Anolis sagrei: one gene and its partners. The protein of the gene in region 2 interacts with the protein of the main gene of each other region in a biochemical or structural test. Links are inferred from orthologs where the notes say so. Each region holds a gene or a part of one and is shown on either strand. Other genes may lie near its edges.

Region 1 (7,531 bases), on a different chromosome or scaffold from region 2:
TTCACCACTGAGTCTCTTCAGATAAAAAAGTAGTATGTAAACAAAAAGGAGGAAAAAGAGGAAGAAGGAAGAGAAGGAGAAGAAGGAAGCAGGTGTAGTAGTTCTTAAGGCCCCTTCTATCCTGCCATATAATCCACATTATCTGGATTGAACTGGATTACATGAGTCTACAAAGCAGATAATCTAGATTTTATATGGCAGTGCAGAAGGGGCCCAAGAAGAAAGATTCCATTTGGGGGCTTAGAGAAATAGTAAGCAAAGGTGTGTATGGACACAATAATAAACATCAGGTGTGTATAAAGTGCTGCATGATACACAAAAAGTGTGGAAGCCAGTGTGATTCTGGTCCCTTCTACACAGACATATAAAATCCAGATTATCTGCTTTGAACTGGATTATTATTATTATTATTATTATTATTATTATTATTAAGGAAACTCAAGACTTGGCTGTGGGACCTTGCATTTGACCATTGAAAAGAGGCTTATATGAAGAAGACATAAGCAATTTCGAAGTGACAATGAATTGACCCGGACCCAGATTTTAATTGGCGTGTTTTAACAACTGTTTGCTTAATGTTTTGTTTTAATAAATTTGTTGATTGTTTTTATCATTATGATGGCACCAAATGGTGTTTGCTGTGAGGCTGTCCTGAGTCCCCCCTAAGGGGGGGGGGGTGAGAAGGACAGGTTACAAGTATATGAAATAAATCAATAAATCATATGGCAGTGTAGACTCATATAATCCAGTTCAAGCCAGATAATGTGGATGATATGCTTTGATAATCTGGATTATATGGCAGTATGGAAGGGGCCACAGTGATTTCAGAGTTGCGGTAGGACTGTAAGAACAGAGTTCAAATCTACAAATGGCATGGATATCCACTGGATGACCCTAGACAAGTCACAATCTCTTGGCCTAAGAGGAAGGCTAAGACAAACCTCCTCTGAACAAATCCTGTAGAGCCAGTGTTTTGTAGTAGTTTGAATATTACAGCCTTATCACACAAGGCAAAATAAGCATCCTAGGACACTTCTGCCCCAGTTCAACCATGGAGCCCCACACTGCCCATCATATGACATCGGGCGACTTCTGGTGGGGCTTCATTGATGAACTGGGGCATCAGTGTGGAAGGACTACTACAAACACAAAGGTAGCCCCATGTTCCATAAGAAACAACACATGGGATGAGGAAGCATCAGTTGCTGGCTGGGGCTCCGGGATTGCCCCAATACTACCCTGATTTGCCATGGATGCTGGCGAATCACAATCCTGGTAAGACAGCATGTGATGAGGTCCTTAGACTGTGTACAGACCAGGATTTGAATCCCTGATCTGTCATGGAAACCCTCTGGATGGCCTTGGGCAAGTCACATTCCCTCACTATCTTAGGAGAAAGCAACCTCAGAAGGTAAGCTTCCCAATAATGCCATAGCACAGCAATCGTCTGGTTAATTACACATTTGTGTGTGGGGAGGGGGGGGAGGGAGGGAGAAAGATTGTGTGACTAGTGTTGCAGTCAGACCTCTTTATATGTGAGGACTCAGTTCTGCAGATAGGAAGAAAACCGAATCCTCTCTTTTAAACTTGTCCATAATTACTGATAGTCATCAGAGGGCTTGATGCATATCTTGCCACCAAGGATGTATCCATGACTAGACTTTTTCTTTCTCAGCATCTTCATCATGTAAATCCCTCCCTTGGTGCTTGACCTTCTCTTTATCATACCATAAACGGGCAGCTAAGACTATTTGATTCGGTTGGCATTTAAAATGAGAACCAGCCTGGTATAGTAGTCTGAGGACTACACTTGACTTGAAGCCATGGAAACCCACCGGGTGATTTCGAGCAAGTCATACTCTTTCCATCTCAGAGGAAGGCAAAGACAAACCTCCTCTGAGCAAACCTTGCTAGGAAAACCGTAAGATAAATTTGCCTTAGGGTTGCTGTAAGTCAGAAAGGATTTGAAGGCACATAATAACGTAACTAAATGTTGCACTACTAGATCTTAAAATGGGGAACATTCAGTGCATCCATAAGGAAGACTTGCAGCAGCAACAACAAACATCCAAAGGGAGTCAGGGCGTTTTTCTCCCTATAATAACATCAATCATATTGCTAATTTGAATGGTGATAGTAATGATTAACTTTCTAGCCTGCCTTTTCCCTCAGAATCAGGACTAAAAAGGGGGGCTAACCTTGCAACAGAGGCTCATTTCAAGAAGCGCAATGATGAAGCATTCATTCAGGGCAGGTAAACAGAAATCCTTCCACAGCTCCTTCCTAAATGCTTCCCCCAAGATTTGTTTGGATGGCTTTTAATGGTGTTGGGAGGAACAGCAAGAAGAGCTGAGGTTGGTGGAGAATGCCTGTGGCTCTGGGATGCCTTCAGGATCTCAATTAAAGCTTGTGCACCAGTTGCACCTGTATCTTGAGAAGCCAGACCCACGCTCTTGTTACATCAAGAATAGATTACTGCAATGCACTCTATGCAGGGTTGCCTTTGAAGACTGTTCAGACGTTTCAAATAACCCAAAGGGCAGCAGCCAGATTCCTCACTGGAGCGGGGTATAGGGAGCACACAACCCCTCTGTAACGTCAGCTCCACTGGCTGCCAGTCTGCAACAGAGCACAATCTGAAGTGCTGGCTTTATCCTATAAAGCCCTGAATGGTTCTGGCCCAGCTTACCTGTCAGGGCCTTCTAAGTGGTGGCTCCTCGACTCTAGAATTCTCTCCCCAGTGAGATTAGATCAGCCCCCTCCCTCCTGACTTTTAGAAAGAGAACAAAGACATAGGACCAAGCTTTTGACTGGTAAAGTAATGCAGTACAAGAAGTAAATATGGAATATGTGCAATTGACATTTGCTGGAAGGGAAGGGAAGGGAAGGGAAGGGAAGGGAAGGGAAGGGAAGGGAAGGGAAGGGAAGGGAAGGGAAGGGAAGGGAAGGGAAGGGAAGGGAAGGGAAGGGAAGGGAAGGGAAGGGAAGGGAAGGGAAGGGAAGGGAAGGGAAGGGAAGGGAAGGGAAGGGAAGGAAGGAAGGAAGGAAGGAAGGAGAGGAAGAAAAGAGAGAAGGAAGGAAGGGTGGAATGGAATGAAGGGAGGGAGAAAGAGGGAGGGAGGAAAGAAGGAAAGACAAAAGGGAAGGAAGAAGGAAGGAAGGAAGGAAGGTAGGAAGAGGGGGGGAGAGAGAAGGAAGGACAAAAGGGTGCAAGGGAAGGATGGAAGGAGAGGAAGGGAGGAAAGAAAGAAGGAAGGAAGAAAGGGTGGAATGGAATGAAGGGAGGGAGAAAGAGGGGGGAGGAAAGAAAGAAGGAAAGACAAAAGGGAAGGAAGGAAGGAAGGAAGGAAGGAAGGAAGGAAGGAGAAAGAGGGAGAGAAAAGGAAGGAAGGACGAAAGGATGGAAGGGAAGGATGGAAGGAGAGGGAGGGAGGGAGGAAAGAGAGAAGGAAGAAAAGTTGGAATGGAATGAAGGGAGGGAGAAAGAGGGAGGGAGGAAAGAAAGAAAGAAAGACAAAAGGGAAGGGAAGGGAAGGAGAAGGAAGGAGAAAGAGGGAGAGAGAAAAGGAAGGAAAGATGAAAGGGTGGAAAGGAAGGATGGAAGGAGTGGGGGAGGGAAGGGAGAGAAGGAGGAAGGAAAGAGAAGGAAAGACAAAAGGGAGGGAAGGAGGAAAGGGTGGAAGGGAAGCGAAGGGGAGAAAGGAAAGAGAGAAGGAAGGAAGGAAGGATGAAAGGATGGAATGGAGAGAGGGAGAAAGGAAAGGAAGGAAGAAGGAAAGGATGGAAGGGAAGGAGAATAGAGAGGGAAGGAGGAAGAAAGCGAGAAGGAAGGAAGGATAGGCTGTTGAGCGAGAGGAGGGCCTGAGAAAGGGCCCAAGGGCCCACATCTGGTCCCCAAGCCTGGGTGTGCCCATACCTGGGCTATATAGCCTCCTTTGCCCAAAGGGTGCTGCTGTGTCTCACAAAGATCTCACAGCATGGAGCTATGGCTGTCAAGTTGCATCCCTTCAAGCCTGGAAAGGCAGCCTGAAGCAGCACTAACTGCCGCCTCCACTGCAACTTAGCAAACCGGGGGGGGGGGGGGGGGTCAGCCATAAAGAACTGTGCTGTCCCTAGGTTTGGCTCCAGGGGGAGGACGAGGGACAGGAGGAGGAGGATGAGGAGGACAGAAGAGGGCGCATTCAAGGGCATTCATTCGGCCACCAGAGCTGAAAGCGAAAGGCTTCCAGAGAGGGAGGGGGGAGAGAGAGAAAGAAGAGGAGAGGGACAGAGAGAGAGAGAGAGAGAGAGAGAGGAGGGAAGGAAAGCAATACAGGGATAAAAAGTGAGAAGGGGAGAGAGAGAGAGAGAGGAGGGAAGGAAAGCAATACAGGGATAAAAAGTGAGAAGGGGAGAGAGAGAGAGAGAGAAAGAAGGGGAGGCACACTGAGAGTGTATGTGCATGAAGGAGAGTGGGGGGTATAGACGAAGGGGGAGGTGAAGGACAGAGTGTGAGAGAAGAAGGGAGCGGGAAGGACAGGAAAAGAGGGCCAAGAGGGACCTAGAGATAGGCAGACGGGCAGGCGCAGAGAGATAACGCTTCCGAGAGAAACGTGGACTCCAGGGCGAAGGCAACGCTCTCCTCGAGCCCTCGTGGGCGCCTGGAGCTGCCTTCCTCCTGGTCTCCCTCTCCTCCTCCTCCTCCTCCTCCTCCTCCTCCCTCAGCCCCCCTTCTTCCAGAGGAACCCCTTCAGTCCTGCCTCCCCCTCCCTCTCTCCCTGCCTGAGTTCTCCGAGGGCTCGCCATTGGCTGCCCGGGTGCCGACGTCACTGGAGGGGGCGGGAGGCGTCTTCAGAGGCGCGGGAGCCCGCCGGAGAGGCTGGCTCGCGCAAACCATGCTGGAGCCCCGGAGCAAGTGGCGGCGGTGGAGGCGGCGTCGGAGGCGCTCCCAGCAGCGGCAGCAGCTGCTGCCAAGAGCCCGGCTCTCTTCCTCCTCCTCCTCTTCCTCCTCCTCTTCTCCTTCCTCCTCTTGGATGATGCCCTGAGCGGCCGGACCCCTCTTGCTGCTCTCCGCCGGACAGCCATGGGAGATGGCTGGGTCTTCCTAAGCGAGAGCCTCCAGAACCGGTCCAACTCCAGCGGTGCCCAAGGCAACGCCTCGTCCGCGCCCAGCCCGGGCGCCTTGCCCCTGGCCCCCAAGGAGCTGTCCCAGCAGTGGGTGGTGGGCATGAGCCTCCTCATGTCCCTGATGGTGACCTTCATCGTGGTGGGCAACGGCATGGTCATCGCGGCCATCGGGCGCACCCAGCGCCTCCAGACCCTCACCAACGTCTTCATCACCTCCTTGGCTTGCGCCGACCTGGTCATGGGATCCGTGGTGGTGCCTTTTGGGGCCACGTTGGTGGTGCGTGACACCTGGCTCTGGGGCTCCTTCCTCTGCGAGTGCTGGACCTCGGTGGACGTCCTCTGCGTGACGGCTAGCATCGAGACCCTCTGCGTCATCGCCATCGACCGCTACTTAGCCATCACCTCGCCTTTCCGCTACCAGAGCCTCATGACCAAGAAACGGGCCAAGGTCATTGTCTGCGTGGTCTGGGCCATCTCGGCCCTGGTCTCCTTCCTGCCCATTATGATGCAGTGGTGGAGGGACGACGACCCCGAAGCCTTATTGTGCTACGACGACCCCGGCTGCTGCGACTTTGTCACCAACAGGGCCTACGCCATTGCCTCCTCCATCATCTCCTTCTACGTCCCGCTCTCTGTGATGATTTTTGTCTACATCAGGGTCTACCGAGAAGCCAAGGAGCAGATGAAGAAGATCGACAAGTGCGAGGGGCGTTTCTACAACAACCACCACCAAAAGCAGCAACACCAACAGCCGCCAACCCACCAGCAGCTGCCTATCCTGGGCAACGGTCCGGCCACCAGGAGGAAAACCTCCCGAATCTTGGCCGTACGGGAGCAGAAGGCCCTCAAGACCTTGGGCATCATCATGGGGGTCTTCACTCTGTGCTGGCTGCCCTTTTTCTTGGTCAATGTGGTCAAGGTCTTCAACAGAGGGCTGGTTCCAGATCAGCTCTTTGTTTTCTTCAACTGGTTGGGTTACGCCAACTCCGCCTTCAACCCCATCATCTACTGCAGGAGCCCTGATTTCCGGAAGGCCTTCAAGAGGATGCTGTGCTGCCCAAGGAAAGTGGACCGGAGGCTGCATGCCACTACTGGGGATCTCTCTCGGTACCCGGGGGGCTTCATTAGTACTCTCGGAGATACTGCCCCATGCACTCTTGGAGGGACGTGGTCCGATTACAATGGTGGTGCCCGGGATGGAAGTGACTCCAGCTTAGAGGACAGGAACAGTAAAACCTCCCATTCAGAATCCAAGGTATAAGGGCAGTTTGGTGGGAAGGATCAGAGTTCGTGGTCAGTCCTGTGGAAACGGAAAGGGAGCTGAAGGAATAGACAGAACAGGAAGGAAGGAATAACTAAATCACTTGGGAGTCTGGCTAATGTACAAATCACCTGATTGACTTGCCATTATGGGGGAGAGAGTTGTATTTATCCTAGAGGGAAAGCAGGTGAACTTGGCTGTTCCATACCTCTTCTGAATCACCCGAAATGGAAGCAAACAGAGAGCATCTGGCCATTGAACAAAAGAGGTTAATGATCCACCTCCCACCCCCATCCCAACCTCCAAGATATTTGGATTATTAGTATTTACATGGAGGAGAGTTGCATGGAGAAACGGGGAGGGAGGCGTGAGTAAGTTTGAAGGAGTTTGCCAAACAAATGGCTTGTGAAGAGCTGGACTTGTAGCAGGCACTTAGGCTGAAAGTCACTGAAGGAGGCAACCAGGGTGTGTATTCCTTTGCCAATAATGGAAGGAAACATCATTGAGCCCTTGGTGGTTTGATTGGAGACTATGCTGGTTTTACAAAAAATGTTCTTTACATTTATCCCAAGAACTTAGCACAAAAAGTAGCCTCTTTTCAAAACATATATCGATATGTATCCTTTTCTGAGAAGTGCTGGTCACCCATATAAATCCATTGATACCAGCATGACTTTCGTGCAGGCAGTCAAAACCTTTTGCAAATCCATTCTAAAAGGCTCCTTTAATATGCTGTCGGGGGTAAATACCTTGGCGAGTTTTATCATGAGCCTGTGCGTATTTAGCAGAATTGAGTTGATGGAAGTTACCCTCAAGTAAATGTGCATTAGCTTACAGCCTTAATATCCTCGTGGCCACATTCTCCTTAACATCCTAGGAGGAAATGATCAATCAGTAATATTGACATGTTGTGTATTCTAATCAAGTATCTCCTTATTTCTGATCCATATTATATCCCATTGACTTGTGGGGTGGGGTGGGGGCTGAAGGTGCATTCTTCTTGTCCTACGAGACAACAGCAATCAGGCTACAAATTGTCTACCTCAAGCTGTGCATATTGTACAGGGGAAAACGTGTTTATATTAAACCGCTTATTTATGTCTTGTCAGTTAGGGGTTTGTTTTGTTTTCCATAGAGACAGAAGCATCCATCCTCTAGTAATCC
Region 2 (7,582 bases):
GTTTATTTATTTATACTTCTTCTGATCGGCACTTTTTCTCAGTCAAAGGCCTGTCACTGTGCCACCCTTGGGCTTGGCAATTTGCACAGTATGCTGTAGTATTCAAAGAAGGAATGACAAATTCATAAAGTAAATATTGACAGAAGTAGCCATAAAATCTGGCTCCCTACATTTATCTCCCCTTCTTCTCATATTAATCAAAGATATTTCAAGAAAAGGACTCAATACTTTGATTAATGTATAACTGATTGATATATAACTTTCATTACAGTAGCATATAACAGAAGAAGCAGAAAGGAATGTAGGAGGTCCATTGTGTCTTACATGTATTTCAAAAAGAAGAACCAGCATTAATTAAAAAGTGAAAACAAGTAGAATATGTATATAATTATGTTTTATTGAAGAAAAGCTCATTGTAAATATGCTGAGGGCGAAGTTGATGACCAGAAAACAAAATAAGTTTTTTTTCCAAGCTGAGGATGAAGTCCTTACTATACTGTACAAAGGAAGTTATATTGCACTCAGTGACATTTACTTTTGAGGGGTTTTGCTGAAAGGTGGGAAGTGTCACAGAGAAAGTATTAAAAGGCTAAATAGTTAATGGCTATTTTGCCCCAGAACTACTTGGACCAATATCCTTGGTACCCAAAGAAACAGAAGATTAAAAAGTACACTGCAGCATGTCGCACATTCAATGTTTCTTTCAATCACCCTCTCTCTATATATGTATAAACAGTCTGAATAGCTATGCACATTTATTTCCCAATAAGCCTCATTGACTCTAGAAGGATTTATGGAGAAACCAAGCATCTGTTGAGGCACGAAATTTGCAAAGATGAGAACATGGATCTGTAAGTGAATTGCATTGGCAACGATGGGATTATTATTATTATTATTATTATTATTATTATTATATTTTTTGCTTCTACTTCAGTTTTCTAGTCACATCTACATTTTTTTGTTTGTTTATTTACAGTATTTATATCCTCCCCTTCTCACCCTGAAGGGGACTCAAAGTGGTCTTACAATCAGCAACAATTTAATGCCATATCAAACAACATATAATAAAAATAAACATCAAAATTAAAAGCAATATAAACATTAAAATCAAGTATTAAAACCAAACAGTCCAAAATCATAGTCATAGGGCGTTCCAGCCATAATTCCACGTATTCCATCTACCCTTATTGCACTACATTTCTATCCTAAGGCTTAGTCCCAGAGCCACGTTTGTACTTCCTTTCTGAAGGTCAGGAGGGAGGGGGCTAACCTGATTTTGCTGAGGAGGGAGTTCCATAGTTGAGGGACCACCACTGAGAAGGCCCTGTCTTCCATCCCCACCAGTTGCACCTGAGAAGAAGGTGGAACCAAGAGCAGGGCCTCCCCAGATGATCTTAACCTCCAGTATGGTTAATAGAGGGAGATGCGTTGGGACAGATAAGCTGGGCCAGAAACATTTAGAGCTTTATAGGCTAAAGTCAGCACTTTGTTTTCGGTAGCAAATGGGCAGCCAGTGGAGCCGACATAACAGGGGAGTTGTATCCTCCCTATATGCCGCTCCAGTGAGAAATCTGGCTGCTGCCCGTTGGACTGCTTGAAGCTTCCAAACAGTCTTCAAAGGCAACCCCATGTACAATGTACATTACAGATATAAATAATCTTGTTCTATTGACGTCCTTTTCCCTGGGTTGAAGATATAACTTCTTAAAAAATCTTCTTGTAGATAATGTTTACCTACACCCCTGCAGCTAACTGTTGTATTTAAATAATATTAGAAGAACAAACTAGCAGAAATGAGAAAATTAGCAACGATGCTTAAAGGAAAATCCCAAAAGAGCTATAGAAAGGACTAGGAACCATATTTAAATTTCATTTTTTTAAAAAGATGGACAATTATTTACTGCAGGTTTTAAACTTTAAACGGAAAGTTACCTTGCTTTAATATCTATTGGAATTCCAGTGTAAGAACTGAGAAGGTGTTTACGAAGTAGCTTAAGGAAGAATGCAGAGGCTTAGAACTGCACTGCTGAACAGGAATGCGCAGCCAATCCCTTTGGCACCAGGGTCAGGCTGATTAGATGCCAGCAATGCCAGGCAGCAGCTTTGGTCTAAGCCCTCTCTGAGATTCTACTCAGTGTAAGTGGCAGACTGAGAAACTGGCAGGAAAGACCCCCCAGGAGTTTTAGGTCCCTTTAGTGGGTATATCCCTCTCTTCTGTGTAGCAAAGCCTTTTATCTCTCCTGCACAAGGTAGGTGAGTGGCAACTCAAAGGTACAGACATTTCTTTCACCTTGTATTTTGGCCAGCCCAAATCACTAGTACAAAAGGATTAAGGTGACTCTGGAAGCTCAAACAAGCTGTGGTCACTCCAAAATGCACACCCCTAGAACCAGAAGAGATTCTGGGTTTCTGTGAGTTTTCCGGGCTGTATGGCCATGTTCCAGAACCATTCTCTTCTGACATTTTGCCCACATCTATGGCAGGCATCCTCAGAGGTTGTGAGGTCTGTTGGAAACTAGGCAAGTGAGGTTTATATATCTGTGGAATGTCCAGAGTGAGAGAAAGAACTCTTGTCCACTTGAGGCAAGTGTGAATGTGATTAGCATTGAGCAGCCTTGCAGCTTCAAAGCCTGGCTGATTCCTGCCTTTAGTTGCCTAGCTTCCAACAGACCTTACAACCTCTGGGGATGACTGCCATAGATGGGGGCAAAACATCAGGAGAGAATGCTTCTGGAATATGGCCATACAGCCTGGAAAACTCACAGCAACCCAATGATTCTGGTCATGAAAGCCTTCAACACACAGAAGAGGCTCCTCTTTCAGATGGCAAGGACATTTGTCTTGCCTAAACCTGGATGACATATGGACCACAGTTAGGGGCCAGACCTCTCAGAGGGGTCACCAGGGGGTGTCATAGGGGTCACCAAAGACCAGCAGAAAACAAAGTATTTTCTGTTGATCATGGGGGGTTCTGTGTGGGAAGTTTGGCCCAATTCTATTGTTGGTGTGGTTCAGAATGCGCTTTGATTGTAGGTGAACTATAAATCCCAGCAACTACAACTCCCAAATGTCAAGGTCTATTTTCCCCCAAACTCCACCAGTGCTTACATTTGGGCATATTGAGTATCCGTGCCAAGTTTGGTCCTGATCCATCATCGTTTGAGTCCACTGTGCTCTCTGGATGTAGGTGAACTAAAACTCCAAAACTCAAGGTCAATACCCACCAAACCCTTCCAGTATTTGCTGTGGGTCATGGGAGTTGCCTGTGCCAAGTTTGGTTCAATTCTATCATTGGTGTGGAGTTCAGAATGCTCTTTGATTGTAGGTGAATTATAAATCCCAGCAACTACAACTCCCAAGTGACAAAACCAATCCCCCCAACTCCACCAATATTCAAATTTGGGCGTATGGGGTATTTGTGCCAATTTTGGTCCAGTGAATACATCCTGCACATCAGATATTTACTATTAATAACAATAGCAAAATTAGTTATGAAGTAGCAACCAAAAGAATGTTATGATTGGGGGCCAACACAACATGAGGAACTGTGCGAAAGGGTGGCGGCATTAGGAAGGTTGAGAGACACTGCTTTAGTGAATTGCTATTCCAGAGTAAGAGGGCGAGATCTCCGAAACAGCAACGCCGCAGCCTGAGAGCCAGGCAGAGACCAAAGCCGCTTTGCAGCCCGTCCTGTCGCCGCCACAAACCCTTTTCCTTGTCCCTGAAAGTTCTTTTCTCTCTGACGTCAGGCCCATAGCCCCGCCCCCTGGAATGCCGGGTGGGGCTTTGGGGACAATAGCGAGCGCGAGGCGAGGGAGAGGAGGGGAAGTTGGAGAGGGAGAGAAGAAGTGTGTCCAATGGGAGGAGAGGAAGAGAAGAAAGGGGCGTGGTCTCCGGCGGCCGTGGGGAGGCCGCTTCAGGGAGAGGGGGGAGAATAGGGAGAAGAGAAGGGGGCGTGTCCTCTTGCCCAGGGGCGGGAGTTGAGAAAGGACGAGGAGGTGTATGCAATAGGAGAAGAAGGGGGCGTGTCTTCTGTCAGCCGTGGGGGAGAGGAGAGAATAGATTTGTCCAATGGGAGAAGGAAAAAGAGGAAAAGGGGGCGTGTCCTCCTGCCCAGGGGAGGGAGTTGAGAGTAAGGAGAAGGAGGTGTATGCAATAGGAGAAGCAGGGGGCGTGTCCTTTGTCATCCGTGGGGAGGCCGCCTCAGTGAGAAGGAGGGAGAATACGTTTGCCCAATGGGAGAAGGAAGAAGAGAAGAAGGGGCGTGCCCTCCTGCTAAGGGGAGGGAGTTGAGAGAAGGGATGAAGAGGTGTATCCAATAGGAGAAGGAGGGGGCGTGTCCTTTTGTAGAGAGAGCGAGCTGAGGGAGAGAAGCAGGAGAAGTGTGTCCAATGGGAGGAGGAAGAGAAGAAGGGGCGTGCCCTCCTGCTCAGGGGCGGGAGTTGAGAGAAGGGATGAAGAGGTGTATCCAATAGGAGAAGGAGGGGGCGTGTCCTTTTGTAGCGAAAGCTGAGGGAGAGGAGCGGGAGAGGTGTGTCCAATGGGAGGAGGAAGAGAAGAAGGGGGCGTGTCCTCGTGCCGCGGCCGGCGCGCGGAGGGAGCCGTCAGTTGGGAAGCAGCCGCGGCCGGTGGCGGTTGGGGAAGGCGCGAGGCAAAGGAGAGAGAGAGAGAGAGAGCGCGCGCACGCGCACAAGCACACAGAGGCGCGCGCTTGGCGAACTGGCCGGACGAGTGACTGACTGACTGACTGACTGACTGAGTACACAGTGGGAGAGTGGTGGCGCCTCCGTCGTCGCCGTCTCCTCGTCCTCCTTTCGGGCGGAAGGTCGCCCATGGTGCGGCCTCATGTCTAAGACGCTGCGGAGGAAGCGGCACTGGCTGAGCAAAGTACAGGAGTGCGCCGTGTCCTGGGGCAGCGGCTGCGGGCCGGACCCGGAGCTCCTCCGCGGGGGAGCCGAGCGCGGAGAGTTCCCTTACCTCGGCGCCCGCCTCACGTCGCCGGCCGAGCCCTCGCCCTCCTCGTCTTCCTCAGGCGGCGCTCCCGGCTCGGTCCTGCTCTCGGGGAAAGCCCCGGCGCCGGGGGACGTCTTGCTGGAGGTGAACGGCACCCCGGTGAGCGGCCTCACGCACCGCGACACGCTGGCCGTCATCCGACACTTCAGGGAACCCGTGCACCTCAAGACCGTGCGGCCAGGTCAGTGCCTCGGGGCCGCGAAATGCCCTCCCGCCTTGCCTGCCTGCCTGCTTTGGGTGACTCTACACCAGGCATGGGCAAACTTGGGCCCTCCAGGTGTTTTGGACTTCAACTCCCAGCATTCCTAACAGCCTCAGGCCCTTTCCTTTTCCCCCTCAGCCCTAAGGGCCTGAGGCTGTTAGGAATGCTGGGAGTTGAAGTCCAAAACACCTGGAGGGCCCAAGTTTGCCCATGCCAGCCCTCATCCCTTTCTCCTTCATAAGCTCAAGCTATCTCTCCCTCCCATCTCCTTGCCCTTGGGGCACATTCTCGCCTTACCTGAGCACTCCTGGCCCTGTTTCCAGGCACATTTAGCCCCCTAGGGTGCATCTATGCTGTAGAATTTGACACCACTTTAATAATAATAATAATACACTTTATTTATATTCCATTCTATCTCATTTATTTACTCTTACTTGTATCCCGCCTTTCTCCACCCTGAAGGAGACTCAAGGAGGCTTTCCGTAGGACAACTCTTCAATGCCTTTGAACAACAAACAGTTAAAATACATGGAGTGAAAGGTTTAAAATTAAAATGGAATGCACATTTAAAATATGCCTGTGGAACTCTCTACCCAGTGACGTTAGATTGGCTCCCTCCCTCTTTTCCTTTAGAATGAAATTCAAAACCTGGCTGTGGGACCAAGTGTTTGAACAGTAGAGGCAGCAATTTAGAATGAGACCCAATTTGTGTGAATTACAATGGACTGATCTGGACTATGATTTCAAACTTGCGTGATTTAAACAATGTTTTAGTAATTTTAAAGCATTCACAAATTGTTTTAATTTCTTTTATTTATTTATTTACGCTATTTCTATCCCGCCCATATCATCCTGAAGGCGACTCAGGGCGGCATACAGAGTCGGCACAATTCGATGCCATATATAAAATACATACATTGATAAAAAGCAATAAAGAAACATTACAGTACATTTAAAATCATAAAAACAATGAACAATAAAAATTTAAAGAACTATATCGTCTCGTTCAAATCCTCATCCATTCCATTGTCTTGGCCGTTCCTGGGTCATTTTCTGATTCAAGTTTGTCTGTTTATGCTGTGGTACCGAAAGCTTGCTCGAAGAGCCAAGTTTTACTCTTTTTCGAAAGGTCAGAAGGGAGGGGGCTGATCTAATATCCCTAAGCAGGGAGTTCCACAGCCGAGGGGCCACCACAGAGAAGGCCCTGTCTCTCACCCCCGCCAAACATGCTTGCAAAGCAGGCAGGATCGAGAGCAGGGCCTCCTCCGACGATCTCAAGTTCGTGGTGGGTTCATAGGAAAAGATGCGTTTGGATAGATAAGCTGGGCCAGAACCGTTTAGGGCTTTATAGGCTAAAGCCAGCACTTTATCATTCATTACTGCTGTTTAGCATTGAATGAATGCCTGTTGGGAAGCCACTCTGAGTCTCCCCCTCAGGGTGAGGAAGATGGGGTACAAATATGCGAAATAATATAAATACGAACATATATACATATAAAGCATTACACTCACTAATTAAAAATCACACCACTCGCAATCGTAATCTGGGACCATTTCAAAAGCCATTGCACATAATGTTGACAAGTTGTATTGTGTCCAGAGGAGGGCTACTCAAATGATCAAGGGTCTAGAGAACTAGCCCTATGAGGAGTGGATCAAAGAACTGGGCATGTTTAGCCTGAAAAAGACAAGGCTGAGAGGAGGCATGATGACCATGTATAAATACGTGAAGGAAAGTCAGAGGGAGGAGGAAGCAAGCTTGTTTTCTGCTGTCCCTGAGACTAGGACGCGGAACAGTGGCTTCAAACTACAGGAAAGGGGATTCCACTTGAACATTAAGAAGAACTTCTTGACCGTTCAAGAGTAGAACTCTCTGCCCCAGAGTGTGGTGGAGGCTCCTTTTTTGGAGGCTTTTAAGGAGAGGCTGGATGGCCATTTGTCAGGGGTGCTTTGAATGTGATTTTCCTGCTTCTTGGCGAGGGTTGCATTGGATGGCCCACACAATCTCTTCCAACTCTATGATTCTATGAATTTCGTAGCTTTTATTGCAATGTAGTTAATCTCCAAAGGCTTGACCCACAGGGCCAGATTTTCACTTTCCTTCTGAAGGCCAAGAGGGAGGGGGCTGCTCTAATATGACTGGGGAGAGAGTTCCACATCTGAGGGGCCACCACTGAGTAGGCCCTGTCTCTCATCGCCATCAGTCACATCTGCAAAGGAGGGTGGATCGAGAGCAGTGCCTCTCCAATATGATCTTAATCTCCGAGGGGACTCAGAGCAGATTACAGTATGCACATAAATAGGGAAACATTCCATGCTTTTTATACAGTGAACAATTACATACTATACACAAACAAAGGAAAAGTT
Region 3 (8,003 bases), on a different chromosome or scaffold from region 2:
GAAAAAGTCAAAATGTCTTGTTCAACTCTATTTCATAGCACTTTTCAAAAAGCTTACTTTCTAAATGTACTCCTTGGAAAAATGAAATCAGATATAATAATAACTTTTATCGTACCTTTCTATTTCATATGCAAGCAGAATTCAATATGCATTTTGCCTCTCAATCTCTTATGTTGATCTTTGGAAAGATAATAAATTAACAAAGGTTTGGAACTTAATATAAGGTGCTGCCTATTATATTTCCCTACTTGGAACACCAAGTAAATATTGTGTTACATGTCAACTGATCTCCACATAGAGGTGTGTGTGTGTGCCCCCACGTGCATGTGTGTAATAGATACGATGAAAGAAAGGAACAGGAAAACAATTACAACTTGATTAAGAAAAAGCTTGAATGACCGAATACATGGATTTTGACCAGGCAGGAGGGGTGTATTGGAACAGGACAGAATAGGGATTCTGTTGGTGTAACGCCCATCCCACTGCTCAACAGTCTCCCTTCCTGAGCTAGCAGGAGTGGTCTCATGGTTGGCATTGGAGTCTCAGTGACTAATAGTTCTGGGAGATTTCAACTTCCATACTGAGACTGCTCCATTGGGAGTGGCTCAGGACTTCATGGCCTCTATGACAACCACGAGTCTGTCCCAGATGGTGTCTTGCCCTTTCCATGCTGCTGGACACACTTTGGATCTTGTTTTCTGTGCAGGATAGGATGATGGTGATGGTGGTGTGGAGGAATTGGTCACAGTTCCATTGTCATGGACCAATCACTATCTGGTCAAGTTTAGACTAGCTGGGACTCCAAACTTCAAAGGAGTGTGTGACCAATTAAGATGGTCTGCCCCAGGAGACTTATGGATCAGGATGGGTTCCTGTCAGCTCTTGGGGATTTTCCTGTCACCTTGGCAGGTGATTCTGTTGAGGCTCTGGCTCACCTCTGGAATGGGGAAATGGCCAGGGTAGTAGACACAATTGATCATGAATGTCCCCTCTCATGGAGCAGAGCCAAACCAGCCCCTTGGTTTTCCAAGGAGTTGGTAATTATAGAGCAAGTGAGATGGAGACTAGAGCAATGTTGGTGGAGAACTCAAAGCAAATCTGACTGAGCACAGGCTAGAGGGTATTTGAAAGCCTACTTCATGGCAAAGGGGGCAGCAGAGAAATCATTAATTGCTGCTACCATTGCATCTGCAAAGAACTGACCAGCTCAGCTGTTTCACGTAGTCAGGGGACTATTACATATTGCTCCTCAAGGAGAAATCCCTGATTACTCAGCAGCCCAATGTGAAGAATTTGCACAACATTTTGCAGATAGTCACTCAGATCTGTTCAGAGCGACTATGGATGCTGTTATTGATACAGTTCCAGTGGATGTAACTTTGGCTTATCTAGTATTGATGGAAACCTTTCAGTCTTTGCAGTCTGAGGGTGTGGACAGGATCCTTGGAGAGGTGAGAGCTACCACGTGTATTCCAGATCCTTCCTGGCTGATCAAACAGGTCTCTGGAAAAACTCCTTGCTCAAGAGAGCCATTTACTATATTCAACAAAGGACCACGTAATCCCTCCAAGCAAAATTTAACTAGCCAAGAGGGACACGGGTCGAGAGGGCAAGTGGTTGATCGAACTGCAAGAGGCTGATCAAACCTTTAAAGCCATAAATGGTTCAGGTCCAGGCTATTTGACTGACTGCATCCCCTTGTACGAACCAGCCTGGACTCTGAGATCTTCAGGAGAGGCCGTTCTCTTGGTCCCACATCCAACTCAAGCTCGTTTCGTGGGAACGAGAGAGTGGGCCTTCCTTCTTGGTGGCTGCCCCTCAACTCTGGAACTCCCTTCTTCCCAGGGAAGCCAGAATGTCCTTCTAGTAGCAGGCTAAAACTTTTTTTTATTCAGGCAGGCTGTTAAAGATGAAGGTGTTTAAAACCTTCAAGGGCTGCTGTGATTTTGTGGTGTTATTTTATATGCATTTATGGTTTTAACCTGGATTGTTTTAATATTAATGTTGTTTAATGCTGTTTTAATATTTGTATATTTTAAGTTGTATTGAAATACTTTTAGTTGTGAGCCACTTTGAGTATGGAGAGAAAAAGCAGGATATAAATAAATATGTATATAAAAGAAAAGTACTTTTGAATGAACTACCCACATTATTTCTGGGTTGTTAAATTATTCTTCCCTTTCACTGACAAATCCCAAAAGACTAGAATACAAATAGAGACTCCATTTTTGTGTAGCTGCAAAATGAACTCATATTCTGTAGTGACCTTTAAAAGCTCATATGTTCACTTGTGAATTTTCCATTCTGTAGTGGCAGGTCATTACCAGGAGGATCTACCAGGATGGCAAGTTGTGGAGAGATGGAGGATAGTGTGGGTGTTAAATATGTGATGTGCATGTGTGTGTACACTTTGCCAGTTGACATATTGCAATGCCATTAATTTTCTGTGGTTTTCTTAGACAAGGAATACTCAAGGCAATTTTGCCCTTTCTTTCCTTTGAAATATAGCCTGCAGCTTCTTTTTTCATTGGCAGTCTCCCATCCAAGTACTAACCAAGGCTGGCCCTGCTTGGATACAAGTATCAGATAGGAGCTAATGTATATATACAATGGAAGAAAGGAACAGTTAAACAATTATGACTTGATTAAGAGAAAGCTTGAATGACTGAATTCATGGATTTTGACTATGCAGGAGGAATGTCATAGAAAGGAACCAATAATAACTGCAATGAATGAGAGATCAATAAATAGTTTAGGCCATAAGAAGAGGCAGGGTAGATGAAGTCCAAAATGTCACACCTAGGGAGGCAATGTTTTCTTCTGTTGCCAACCGTAGATGTTTAATAAAAGACCCCAGGCAAGTAAACATAAATTCTCCCAAACATAAAAAGCACGCAGGAGGTAATATATAGCCCTCATGACTTTACTGCTAATGAATTGATCTTTACACTTTAGAAAAGGAAAAGCACAATCTCATTGTACTTCTTGTTAATAGCAGCTATTGAGAAACACAAAATACAGTAAGTATGACTTCCTGGTGTTTTGTTTATCCCTCTCTGACAAAATATGTCCTCTCTAGCCATTGGCTAGGTTCTCTGGAGAGACTTTACAGTTTTCTTGGGCCAAAAATTATTCATTTAAAAAAGGGTTAGCAATTATTATTATTATTATTATTATTATTATTATTATTATTATTATATGCAAAGTCCAGAAATATACTCTCAACCGATACTGGGGTTGTGCTCCATTTAAAAGCCTCTGCATCTTATTCAAGTAGGGACTTCAAATGTGGCAACCCAAAAGCCCAGTAACTATTATTTTAGAAACCATTTTTATGACATTCATGCACCACCAACTGAGCTCCAATTGTCTTCCTCTCCGTTATTATCTCACTGAGGTCCCATGAGGTTTGTTGTTGTATGTCTTCATGTTTCCAACTTGTGGCAACCTCAAGGCACTTCTGTCCATACATTGCAGCAATAAATGCAGACATGATGCTTAAATAAATATGAGGCCTGTCATAGGTCAAAAAAGGGTGGTTGGAAAAAACTGCAGGGTGACACAGGCTGGATCTACACTGCTCTGTATTCCAGATTATCAGCTTTGAACAGGATTATACAAGTCTCCACTAACAGACAATCTGGGGTCAGATCCTGGGATACAGAGTAGTGTAGATCCAGCCGCAGTCTTTCTCTCAGGTCGCACCTACACTGACCATTTAATGCAGCTTGGAGCTAAACTGAGGTGGCTATACAACCAACTCCCACAAAAGCATCCATAACAATGTCATCATCAATGTGCACCAGTGCTCTCTTGTTTGTGTAATTGCCATTCCGGCCTCCTTCTGGTTTTAGGATATCCTAGGTGATCAATGATCATCTGCACAGGGAAAACACTTTCTTCAGCACCAGTTTGAAGCTGCCTGAAGTGGCCAGTGTAGATACACTGTCGGACCAAAGAGAAAAACATGCAGTTTTCGGAACAGGAAAAAGTAGTTCCCTGTAGATCAGTGGTTCTTGACCTGTGGGTCCGAAGGTGTTTTGGCCTACAACTCCCAGAATTCCCAGCCACTTTACCACTGCCCTAAGTTTCTTGTGAGGGGTCTGCTTGTGTGAATGGTTTACAGCAGAGGTTCTCAAACCTTTTAAACAGAGGGCCAGGTCACAGTCCCTCAAACTGTTGGAGGGCGGGATTATAATTTGAAAAAAAATGAATGAATTCCTATGCACACTGCACATATCTTATTTGTAGTGCAAAAACCACTTAAAAACAATACAATTAAAATGAAGAACAATTTTAACAAATATAAACTTATTAATATTTCAGTGGGAAGTGTGGGCCTGCTTTTGGCTGATAAGATAGGATTGTTGTTGTTGTGCTTTCAAGTCATTTCAGACTGAGGTTGACCCTCAGCGAGGGTCGGGTAAATGATCTTGGAGGGCCGTATCCGGCTCCTGGGCCTTAGTCTGAGGATCCCTGATTTACATTCTGCTTAGACAGATATAGATTCATGGGACCTTCAAGTTGGAAAAGCCCACAAGGGCCTGTCTGGTTCAGCACTGCCCATCTTGGAAGGATGTGTAACAAATACTCTCTGGAAAGATGCCTCCCAAGAAGAGTTTGCAGATTTCCAAAGGAGATACTGCTGCAGAGATTAACGTGTAGACCAGGCATGGGCAAACTTCGGTCCTCCAGGTATTTTGGACTTCAACTCTCACAATTCCCAACAGCTGGTAGGAGTTGGAGTCCACAACACCTGTAGGGTCGAAGTTTGCCCATGCCCAGTGTAGACTTTGACAAAAACGAACACACCATCGGTGCGATACATTGGTGGTCCGGCCATGCACACAGGAGTAGAAAGCCTCCCACCACGCTTTCCCGCCACGACAGGGCTAGATGAGTCCCCCGCACCCGCACGCCCGCCCATCCCTCGGGGCACCAAGCCCCGGAGTTCACTTCCCAAAGGGTCCTGCGGAGGATGAAGCCCGTGGAATCCTCTGAGGACGCCAAGTAGGAATGGACGTGGAGGGAGAAGCTCGGGCTGGCAGACTCCAGGCGAAGGGCTTCCGCCGCGGCGCCCCGGCCCCTTCCTTCCTGCTTTCCTGCTTCCCCGTCGCGGGCTCCTTCCTCCTGTTCTGTCGGGCGGTTTTGCCGGAGCCCAAGCAGCTCCGGCTTCGGATCAGGTGCCGAAGGGAGCAAGGAAGGATCGGACGGAAGGTCTCTTCCTCTTCCCAACGGCCAAGCCAGCCATTTCCCCCCAGCCTTCCTTCTTCCCTCGGCGATCCCCGCAGAAAGAAAGAAAGAAGGAAGGAAGACAGGCAGGCAGGCAGGCGGGCGGCAGCCGGACCGACGGGCGGGACCCCATCCCGGAGCGTGGCTGCGCGGGTGTCGCGCGCTCGGAGGGTGGCCGTGCGCCGGCAGCCCATTGGCTGGGGGCGGCTTGACGTCACAATTAGGAGTTCCTATAAACTCCCCTAAACCTAACGGGAGCCGGGACAAGTTCTTCGGCGGGCGAGGGATCCGCAGGCGCGGCGCGAGCGGGAAGGAAGGAGGAAGGAGGAAAGCAAGGAGGAAGGACGGACTGGAAGGCAAGGGCCACATGCGGGGCCCGGTCCCGCCGCGCCTCCAAACGGCACTTCGTCGCGGCCGCCGGGAAGCCAGAGCCGCCCGAGGCTGACTTGGGCTCCTGGAGGCGCCATGGAAGTGGCCAGCTCCCCCGCCAGCCCGCTCCTGCCCTTCGCCTTGAGCCTGAACGATAGCCCCTCCGGAGGGCCCAGTTCGGGCAATGCCACCGCCTCGGAAGAAACCTGGGTGGTGGGCATGGGCATCCTCATGTCCCTGATCGTGCTGGCCATCGTCTTTGGCAACGTCCTGGTGATCACCGCCATCGCCAAGTTCCAGAGGCTCCAGACCGTCACCAACTACTTCATCACCTCCCTGGCCTGTGCCGACCTCCTGATGGGCCTGGGGGTGATCCCCTTTGGTGCCAGCCACATCATCCAGCGCACCTGGAAGTTTGGGAACATCTGGTGCAAGCTCTGGACCTCCATCGACGTGCTGTGTGTCACGGCCAGCATTGAGACCCTCTGCGTCATCGCCATGGACCGCTACTTTGCCATCACCTCCCCTTTCAAGTATCAAAGCCACCTGACCAAGAATAAAGCCCGGGTGATCATTTTGTTGGTTTGGGTCATCTCCATTCTGACCTCCTTCTTGCCAATCCAGATGGACTGGGACAAAGCTGACATCCCTGAGGCTGAGAAATGCTACAAGGATGAAAACTGTTGTGATTTCTTCATCAATGGAGGCTATGCCATCATTTCTTCCGTCATCTCCTTCTACCTGCCATTGGTGGTCATGGTTTTTGTCTATGGGAGGGTCTTCCAGGTTGCCCGGAAGCAGCTCAAGAAGATAGACAAGTGCGAGGGCCGGTTCCACCAGCAGAGCTCCCAACAGGAACAGAATGCAGGAAGAGCCGGTCACAGGAGAGTGTCCAAGTTTTGCTTGAAAGAACACAAAGCTCTCAAAACCCTGGGCATTATCATGGGCACGTTCACGTTGTGTTGGCTCCCGTTCTTCATTGTCCACTTTGTGCATGCCATCAATGAACACGTGATCCCCAAATCCCTGTACGTGATCTTGAACTGGCTGGGATATGTCAATTCTGCCTTCAACCCCTTAATTTACTGCCGTAGCCCAGACTTTAGGTATGCTTTCCAGGAGATCCTCTGCTTCCGGAGGTCTGCCTTGAAAATGTACATCAACGGGTATTCCAATAGCACTGGAAAAAATGACTTCATTGGGGATCACAATAGCTTTCATGCGGGGCGAGAAAAGGCCTGTGAATTGCTCTGTGAAGAAGACAGCCTTCCTCCTGGGGAAGAGCATTTGCATTGTAAAGGTACTGTGTTGCATGGTAACGTTAATTTGCAGGGATGGGACATGGTTGATGACCATGGCTGTTGATGGTAATGACATGTAAAATGGGAAATAGAACAGCTGTTTGGACAACTGCAGTGGTCCCAAATGCAGGAAGAGATCCCACGCTGGCATGTTATGGTTATACCAATATTTAAGGAAGGGCATGATTGGATTTGCGTATATATCAATTAGAGCTCCTTCTTCCATTAAGAGCAAATGCACTGCTGGGCCTTGTCCTCCAAGGAACTTCTTTGTTGTGATGTAGTGTCACCATGTTCATCTACCTCACAGGTGTAGGAATTGCAAGCACTGAGCTGAGCTGCCTAAAAGTGAAATCCCTGCGCTTGAGAAAGAATTTGGTGCTATTGATGACGCATCCCCTCTTTAGAAGATGATGGCTCTAAGGATTCCTTTAAAGCAGACATGTGCAAACAATGACCCTCTAGGTGTTTTGGACTTCAACTCCCACCATTCCTAACAGCCTCAGGCCCCTTCCTTTTCCCCCTCAGCTGCTTAAGTGGCTGAGGGGGAAAAGAAAAGGGCCTGAGGCTGTTGGGAATTGTGGGAGTTGAAGTCCAAAACACCTAGAGGGTCATAGTTTGTACATGTCTGCTTTAAGGCAAAGATATCAAGCTCAATCTGACAGATTTAGGAATACTGTAAAGTCAATGTTTACCTTTTGTTTAAGTTATTTGAATGTGTCGTGTTTTAAACATTGTATGGAAATCAGTTCAAGGAGAACCTCCAAAATCTTTATTAATTATAGCTGATACAAATACAACAAACATAATGTTTAGCACCACGTTATTTTAGTTTTTCAATGTATTTCACCCTGTGAAATACCACTTTGAAATTTGTTTTTAATTGTCATCTTCAGGGCTTATGTCATTGAGAAGCTGAGAGTTGCCTTGCAGTGTAACTAGCCCACCCTCATCGCCCATTTATCATATTGCACCAGTAGTAATATTCACGGGTTTCTTCATTCAGGGCTCATAGTTCCATATTTAGACTCTTGGCAGATACAAGGCAAATAGTGAGGAACTTGTGTGGGTCCTTATTTTAAAATCATGAAACAAAATGTT

What was found.
Region 1: the proteins of MAGI3 (region 2) and ADRB1 interact in a test that uses a peptide from one of them, tested with the Homo sapiens proteins (2 studies listed by IntAct, with this or other methods). The link is inferred for Anolis sagrei from reciprocal best matches to the Homo sapiens genes MAGI3 and ADRB1.
Region 3: the proteins of MAGI3 (region 2) and ADRB2 form a complex in vitro, tested with the Homo sapiens proteins (2 studies listed by IntAct, with this or other methods). The link is inferred for Anolis sagrei from reciprocal best matches to the Homo sapiens genes MAGI3 and ADRB2.

What each region holds. Positions count from the first base shown.
Region 1 is NC_090023.1:206,905,500-206,913,030, reverse strand, and holds the start of ADRB1 (beta-1 adrenergic receptor), read left to right. Parts: upstream 1-4,499; 5' UTR 4,500-5,062; coding exon 5,063-6,361; intron 6,362-7,531. UniProt on the Homo sapiens protein: Beta-adrenergic receptors mediate the catecholamine-induced activation of adenylate cyclase through the action of G proteins. This receptor binds epinephrine and norepinephrine with approximately equal affinity.
Region 2 is NC_090024.1:202,225,599-202,233,180, forward strand, and holds the start of MAGI3 (membrane-associated guanylate kinase, WW and PDZ domain-containing protein 3), read left to right. Parts: upstream 1-4,574; 5' UTR 4,575-4,845; coding exon 4,846-5,194; intron 5,195-7,582.
Region 3 is NC_090022.1:101,798,951-101,806,953, forward strand, and holds the start of ADRB2 (beta-2 adrenergic receptor), read left to right. Parts: upstream 1-4,953; 5' UTR 4,954-5,697; coding exon 5,698-6,901; intron 6,902-8,003. UniProt on the Homo sapiens protein: Beta-adrenergic receptors mediate the catecholamine-induced activation of adenylate cyclase through the action of G proteins. The beta-2-adrenergic receptor binds epinephrine with an approximately 30-fold greater affinity than it does norepinephrine.